2 linked regions of the Ovis aries genome follow. The protein of the gene in region 2 interacts with the protein of the main gene of each other region in a pairwise test. Links are inferred from orthologs where the notes say so. Each region holds a gene or a part of one and is shown on either strand. Other genes may lie near its edges.

What was found.
Region 1: the proteins of RTN4 (region 2) and SNX15 interact in binary tests that used the Homo sapiens proteins (3 or more experiments, as listed by UniProt). The two-hybrid records come from large-scale screens. The link is inferred for Ovis aries from reciprocal best matches to the Homo sapiens genes RTN4 and SNX15.

The regions. Positions count from the first base shown.
Region 1 is NC_056074.1:39,704,211-39,707,144, reverse strand, and holds the end of SNX15 (sorting nexin-15), read right to left. Parts: exon of another isoform or gene 2,708-2,934; intron 2,126-2,707; exon of another isoform or gene 1,907-2,125; intron 1,661-1,906; coding exon 1,403-1,660; intron 1,116-1,402; coding exon 1,021-1,115; 3' UTR 560-1,020; downstream 1-559. UniProt on the Homo sapiens protein: May be involved in several stages of intracellular trafficking. Overexpression of SNX15 disrupts the normal trafficking of proteins from the plasma membrane to recycling endosomes or the TGN.
Region 2 is NC_056056.1:68,963,971-68,968,247, reverse strand, and holds the start of RTN4 (reticulon-4), read right to left. Parts: upstream 3,025-4,277; 5' UTR 2,815-3,024; coding exon 2,250-2,814; intron 1-2,249. UniProt on the Homo sapiens protein: Required to induce the formation and stabilization of endoplasmic reticulum (ER) tubules. They regulate membrane morphogenesis in the ER by promoting tubular ER production.

The sequences.
Region 1 (2,934 bases), on a different chromosome or scaffold from region 2:
GTCGGAACCTTCCCCCCGCCCGTCTGGCCGCCGCAGTCCTCACCGAGTCCTGTCGCTTCCCACAGATCTCCGAGCAGGCCTCCCGAGAGCCTCTGCGTTGTAGTTCAGCGTCGCCAACACTGTTCCTCACGTTCGGGTCCCACTAAAGCCCGACCACAGTGCACCGCCATAGTCGGACCACTCCCATGATGCACCGCGTTATAGTTCCCTTCCGTAACCAATCGCTTTGCAGGAGAGGCAGGGCAGGCGTGGAGCCACGCCTCCCCGGGCTCCTGTCCTCTAATCCCGTCACTGTTTAGCTCTGAACCACCCGACCCAAGTGGGGACACCCGCTTTGGTTCCTCTTCACCTGATAACCTGACTCAGTCAGCCTTACTGCCGTTCTTTTCTGTTTCCTTGAGGGCTCTTCTTCCTGTTTTCTAGATCAGGGGTCAGCAAACTTTTTCTACAAAGAGCCAAAATAGTAGATATTCTTGGATTTACAGGTCACAACCAATCACTCAGGCTTGCCGGTGTAGTGAGAAAGCAACGGTCGACAACACTAAATGAAAAAGCCTGGTTGTGTTCCAATAAACTTTTATTTTTTAGATACTTAAGTTTCATTATAATTTTCACCTGTCACAGAATATTATTATTTTGGATTTTTTTCACCTATTAAAAAGTAAAAACTCTTCTAGTTCATGCGCCTTACAAAAAAAGGCAGTGGGGCATATCTGACTGTGGGCGGTAGTTTGCATACCCCGGTTCTAGATGGATAAACAGATGGCTTACGGACCAGAGCTGCAGCCTCCCATAACAAGACAGAGACAGGCAGGATCAGATATGTGAGTCCCTGATTCCAAAGTGGCAGGTGTGGTCAGGGAGCTGAGAAATCATTATTTTTCTCATTCCTGGTCCAGTTACATATAGAAATGGCCAGTTACAGGACCAGGAGATCAGGCACCAGGGAGAGAAGAGGGTGGCCGGCAGTGCTGGAGCCAGAGTCCTGGGAACAGGTCCACTCCCATCTCGGGGTGGGAGTTAGGACAGATGCAGGTGTAGGATTTCCTCTGCCCGCTTCAGGTACTCAGCTGCCTTCTTCTTCACACCCTCTCGGCGGGCAGGTGATGGGTCACCTGGGAAGACAGAATGGCTCAGCGGGTACCTGGATTCAGAACCCCTGGTCTAGCTCCTTACTGTCCACAGAGCATCACCATGTGTCTTTCCCTGTTCCTTGGGAGTCAGATATATGCTCCCCATTTTACAAATAAGAAAACTGAGGCCACGAGAGATAAAGCAGCAGCCCAAGGTCACACAATTGGTCAGTGAAGAGCAATTCTGATCCTTGTTTTTCACTTTTCTTTCCCTTCACTGTACCATCCAGGATCCCAGGCCTGACCCTCCAGCCTCAAGTTTTGCTCACCAGAAACTCCCTGGAGCAGGATGTGCACACCGTCCCGGTAGCCTTGCAAAGCAGCAGGGTAGGCGCCTGCCTTCTCGTCCCGTAGGGCCTGGGTGATGAGTTCTGTGGCTTGGCTCAGATAGGCAGGGGTGGGCTCTCCTCCCTCGTCGTCCTCCTCTGCTTGTCCGCCTGGCTCCCAGGGTTCCTGGTCCGGCCTTCCAGATTCTGCCTCCAATGCTGCCAGCTCCCCTATGTGGGTAGGACTGGGTCCTGCACCTTCTGTAATCAGATATGGAGGACTCAGGTCAGATCAGCCCTCTTTTTCCCTGGGCCTGCTGCCCAACCCCAGACCTCTCTGGCCCACCAACCTGTCCTGGGTTTCTCAGTGCCTGAGCAATCCAAAAGCCACTTGTGCATAGCACACTAGCCGTGATCTATTTGGTTGGTGGAGTTTGTGTGCTTTTGTAAAAAAAGTCTTACTTCCCTAATTCTTTGTTTATAGTGAGATATAGTTGATTTACGACCTTATGTAAGTTTCAGGTGTACAACATAACCTAATTCTTTCTTTGTGTGTGTGCATTTTCAGCTGTGTCTCTTTTGAGACCCCATGGACTGTAGCTTGCCAGGCTCCTCTGTCCATGGGATTTTCCAGGCAAGAATACTGAAGTGGGTTGCCATTTCCTACTCCAGGGGATCTTCCCGACCCAGGGATCAATCCGGGTGTCCCCTGTCTCCTGCACTGAGGTGAGTCATTATTAACATTTTACCACTGAGTCATCATTAACATTAATTTGCAAGCTACAGGTCACTGGTTCTACTTCCCTCCCGACTACAACAAATCCAAGAATTTCCTCCACAAAGTTTAATTGAAGGATGCTAGGCCAAGCATGCCAGGTCAAGGGTAGAAATGCTCCAAGCTTTGGAATCTTAGAATAATGGATCCAGAGAACCTCCAGGCTTTTTCAAGTCTTTCAGTATGAGCTGAGATCTCAAATGGGAAGAAGTGGGTGGAAGGTATTCACACATTCCAGAGAGAAGGGCTCATATATCCTCTAGGACTGGCAAGGAGATGGTCAAAGATTCCCTCTGTAGATTCCACAATAGAAGGCTAGCGATCTGGTGAACCTTGGATGAAAAGGCCTTTAAAGGGAAGGTGCAGGACTAGGAACCACCGCTGCACACCACTGGCCTGGAGAGGGAAGGGTGGGCCTCTCTAGAGCCCCACCAGAGGGACCCCATGTGGAGCCCAGGGGCCTTATAGGAAGGTAAGGTGACATTTCACTGCCCAGTTGGACTACAGCCCTTCCTGTGTTGTTCATGAAGCAGAAGACAGAAGAGATCTTGGGACACCCTAGGACTTGAATTCAAGAGCCTGGTGTATGTGATGAAGAGAGAGAGAGATGAATGCCAGCCCTCACCTGGAGAATTCTGATGGTAAAAGGTTGGCTGGATGAACCCACAAAGTGGGGCAAGGACAGGAGGCAGCATCTGAGCAAAGTGCCCTTCCAGCTTGGTGGGGGCGAGAATTTAGGAGTTTTTCCATGGGTCAAGGG
Region 2 (4,277 bases):
TACTGCCGCAGGGCTTTTGCCTCCCAGGAGCTTCTTGGAAATTTTTTATATCTGCAGCTTAAATCTCACCTCCTCAGAAAGGCCTTTCTCAGTGCCACCCTATGTAAAAAGGTTCCCACACATCTCAATAATTTTCCACATCATCCTTCCTATGCTGCTCATAACACTTAACACTAGTCTCAGTTCCTTAATCAGGTGTTTATTATCGGTACTCCTCTCATGGGGAACACATCTGTCTTGCTGACTGCTCTATTTTCCTAGCCTAGAATAGTGCCTCTGTAGGTAAATCAATAACCAGCTGCAGGAAAGAACTGTTAAGAAAGCCAGACTCAGTGACATGGTTTAACTATCTGACCATAATCACAGTGTTCCTTTATGTCCTAAAGGAACTAAAATTTCTAGATAGGCAACATCAATACAGAATTAGGGAGCCATGTAAAGATAGAATCGCTAAGTGACTCAACATTCTCTCCTTTGTCTTCCAAAGTTAGTATTCCTAAAGTCAAAATACAGAAAGAATGCTGTCACCTCCTGACTCTCCAAGGTTCAAAGCACAGAACTCTTTTGTTGCCACACAGGAATACAATATGAAAAATCAGTTTGCTTTTCTTAATCATTAAATTTATCATTTGTAAATGTCTTATTACTTGATATTTTTCCACCTTACTTTAGTTTCTCGAAATGTGTTTTCACTCATAAAAAGGAAAACTTGAGTTACTTCTCACATTCTAATTATCTGTAGTGTAGTAATTAATGTTTTGAGTAATGCTGTGGGGTATGTCGATATCACTATTGACTTATTTTTCTTCCTTGTGGTGCAGGAGTGAGCCGAAGAAAAGAAAATTCTTCCATGATCTCCCACTGAGTATCTTTTTCTAGAAAAACAACCGGCTCTAAAATCCTACAAGGCTATGACAATTTCTCACCAGACTGTTACACTACCTGATTCTTGATCCTTGCCTATTTACACATAAAGGTCCTACTTCTAGTGCGACGCTTTCTGTCCCCAAACTAACAAGCTACTTGTTAATAAGTTAATTAACGTGTCTAATAGGATGAATTCTCAACCTCTAACAAACTTTTTTCTCTTCCAAAATAAACAATCTCCCAAAATGAAAAGGATAATAAAACAATTTTTCCTAATAACAGTAATAACAATCAGGTGCTGGTAAATGAAAAGATTTGAAAACTATTTACGGACAATGCAAATCTGTCTCTGCAGCCCTAAAATATATTACTTCTACGAAACAGTATTTCTAACCAACAGATGAAAACGTCTGTCTGAAAACATTTCATGAAGTCCCATGGTAAATCTGCCAGAAGTTCAACTGTCCTCTTCCCGCCAGGGAATCCACAGGTTTCCCCTTCTTTGGGAATGTCAACCATTTTGCCTTTTCCTTTTATCTCTACGATTCAATTACGATGCATTGAGACTAAACCTGTGCATCCTAACAACTGTTCCCCTCCTTCTGCGGCAGAGCTCCCGGCAGAACTGCGCCCCCTTGGAACACGGTGCCCAGGTCCCATTTCCCCGGCGCCGTTAAGCTGGTGGTAAATAGCCACATCACAACCCGGGTAAACTGGGCGGTGGCAGGACCTCGCCGAAACTCCGCTCCGCAATTCTCCACGCGTCACACCACTGGAGGCGCTGTCCCTTCACTGCAGTCAGGTCAATGTGGACGTTTTCCACTGGACCGGCTCCCCACGAGCGCGGGGCCGGGGCGGGGGAGATGAAGAGCATGGGGCCACCCAAGCCAAGGAAGGGGTGAGGAGAGGGGCCAGGGCTGAATGCAGGCAAAGACCAGCAAGAAACTGCGTCTTTTCCTCAGGAGCAACCTAGTTGGGCAGACAAAAGATTAGGGCGCCAAGGCCTTCCATCCTCATCCCGGAACCAAGGCAGCCCGATGAATCCACACCCCTAGTTCCCTCATTACAGACCCAGTTCCTGCAAGGGGTGGGTTCCTAACTTCCCCGACCCGGTGGAATGGAGAGCAGACAGAACAACCCGGGAGCGGTCGGGGCGCACGTGCTCCCCGATACCCAGACGGACAATAAAGAGTAAGCCGGAGCTTCCTCTGCCGCCCCACCCTGCTCCCCGCGGCTCCCACCAGCGGGGGCGCCTTCGCCCAAAGATCTGCAGACAAAGCCCCCTCCGGATGGACAGAAGGGCAGGGTCCAGGCTTTAGGGGCTGCGCACAAAAGAGGGAGGGGCGCGAGGGGCGGCGCGAGGCGGAGGGCGCGGCACTCACCCACTGAGCCCGAGGAGCCCCTGCGTTTGGGCGCGGCCGGCGTGGAGGGGGGCGCGGCGGGGGCTGGGGCAGCCGGGGTCCACGAGGGCTCGGCCTGAGGGCTCACGTCGGCCGGTGGAGGAGGGGGAGGCCGGGCCGGAGGCCCCTCGTCCTCAGAGAGCTTGGAGTGCGAGTCTGCTGTAATGGAGGGTGGGGACGGCGCGGGCACCGACGACGACACGGGGCTCGGGTCCCAAGACGGCTGCCGCTCCGGAGCGGCGAGAGGCGCGGCCGGCAGTGGCCCCCTGGGCGCCGGGGGCACGAAATCATTGCCGAAGTCCAGCAGGGGCGCGCTAGCCGGGGTGGCGGCGGCTGCGGCCACCGGGGCCGCCGACAGCGCGGCGGCGGGCTTCCTCTCTAGCACCTCCAGCTCCTCCAGGTCCTCGTCCTCGTCCTCGTCTTCCTCCTCCTCCTCTTCCTCTTCGTCCTCGGGCTCCTTTACGAACTGGTACTTGAATGCGGGCTGAGGCCGAGGCGGGCTGTCCGAGGACGAGGAGACCAGAGGCGACTGGTCCATGTCTTCCATGGCTGGCAGGTCAGAGGTGATGCTGCAGCTGCTGCCTCCGCCGGAGAAGCTTCTTCTCAGAGCCGCGGGCGGTTGTGGGGGGCGGGGAGGACTGAGAGGGGCAGGGCCCAACGAGCCGAGGGACCTGCAGTGGCGACAGCTCCCGGAACAATGAGACTGCTCCTCCAGCCTCCGCGCCCGTGATGCGCCACCCGCCCCGTCCCCAGTTGCCGCCGCCGCCGCCCAGATGAGAGAAGGAGAGAGGCCAGCCGACGCTCCGCCCAGTTTGGCGTGACACCCTCCCAGCCAGGGAGAGGGAGGCACTAACGCGGGAGGGAGTGAGCCAATCGGCGAAGAAATAGAGTTGACGGGCAACCAGTCGGCCCAACAGAAAAGGAAAAAGACGAAAGTGGGTGGGTCTCACTGCACTTCCTCTCTCTTACCGGCTCGGGTGGGTTCGATGGGCGGGGTTTGGAGCTGGGAACCCCACCGACTGCCTAGGGTAGTTGCGGGTCCGGCTGGGGTCTTGGTCTTGGCCCTGGCGAAGCTGGAGTCTGTGTGTTTACAGCACTGAGAAAACGAAACGACTCCCTCCCAGCACTGAGGGGTCGGAGACGTTCCTGGCACGCCACCGGAAGGGCGTTATCTTGGAGACTGGGAGTGGAAACTTTCCTCCCAGGAAAGGAAAAAACCCAGAGCGCAGGAAGGTTATGAATAACGGTACTGTGGAGTAGGCCCTAAGGATTGAAGCAAACGTTAAATTGTAAATTTCGAAATGAAAATTTGTTTTCTTTCAAACTTAAATTCCCAAGCCACCTTATCACCTTAAGGGGATCACCATCACCACCTTAAAAGAAAAAATAATATTTTTTACAGGTTTAAAGTCACTCCCAGTCTTAACTGCAGACCCTGGATGAGGTAGGCAAAACAACTAGGCTAGACGATATAGGGACTGACTGGAACAGACCATTTGATGAGTCTGTACTTCTTCAAAGAGGGCTTTGGGATCTGCACGCTGCTGGACTTAACTGGTAGAAGGATGAGTCACCCAAAAGAGGGAGGAGAGAGAGGAAAGTGGAAAGAGAAGGATGCCTTGGAAGGCAAATTTGATTCACATTGTATTTCAGTCACCTTAGGCCCATGAGTCAACATTCTGGATGATTCAGGCTTTCTGGGAGTCAGGATACATACATACTCATTTCTTTGATATATCAAAATGAGTATAATCCCCATTCCACTTTTTCCAGAACTGGAGAGTTTAAAGAAAGTGACTGCAGAACATTTAAGTATCAGCATCCAGAGGTTTAGAGAGTCCTTTTTGTCTTTCTGATGTACTGAATATCTTCCAAAAATATCCCCTTCCTGTCTATTCTAGAGGCCCTGGAGAGAGGAGGATAGCTTGCTTTCAAGTTGCTCTCAGTCTAGGCCTGCACTATTCAAGTCCTTAGTCACTGGCTACTCCTGGCTACCGAGCACTTGAAATA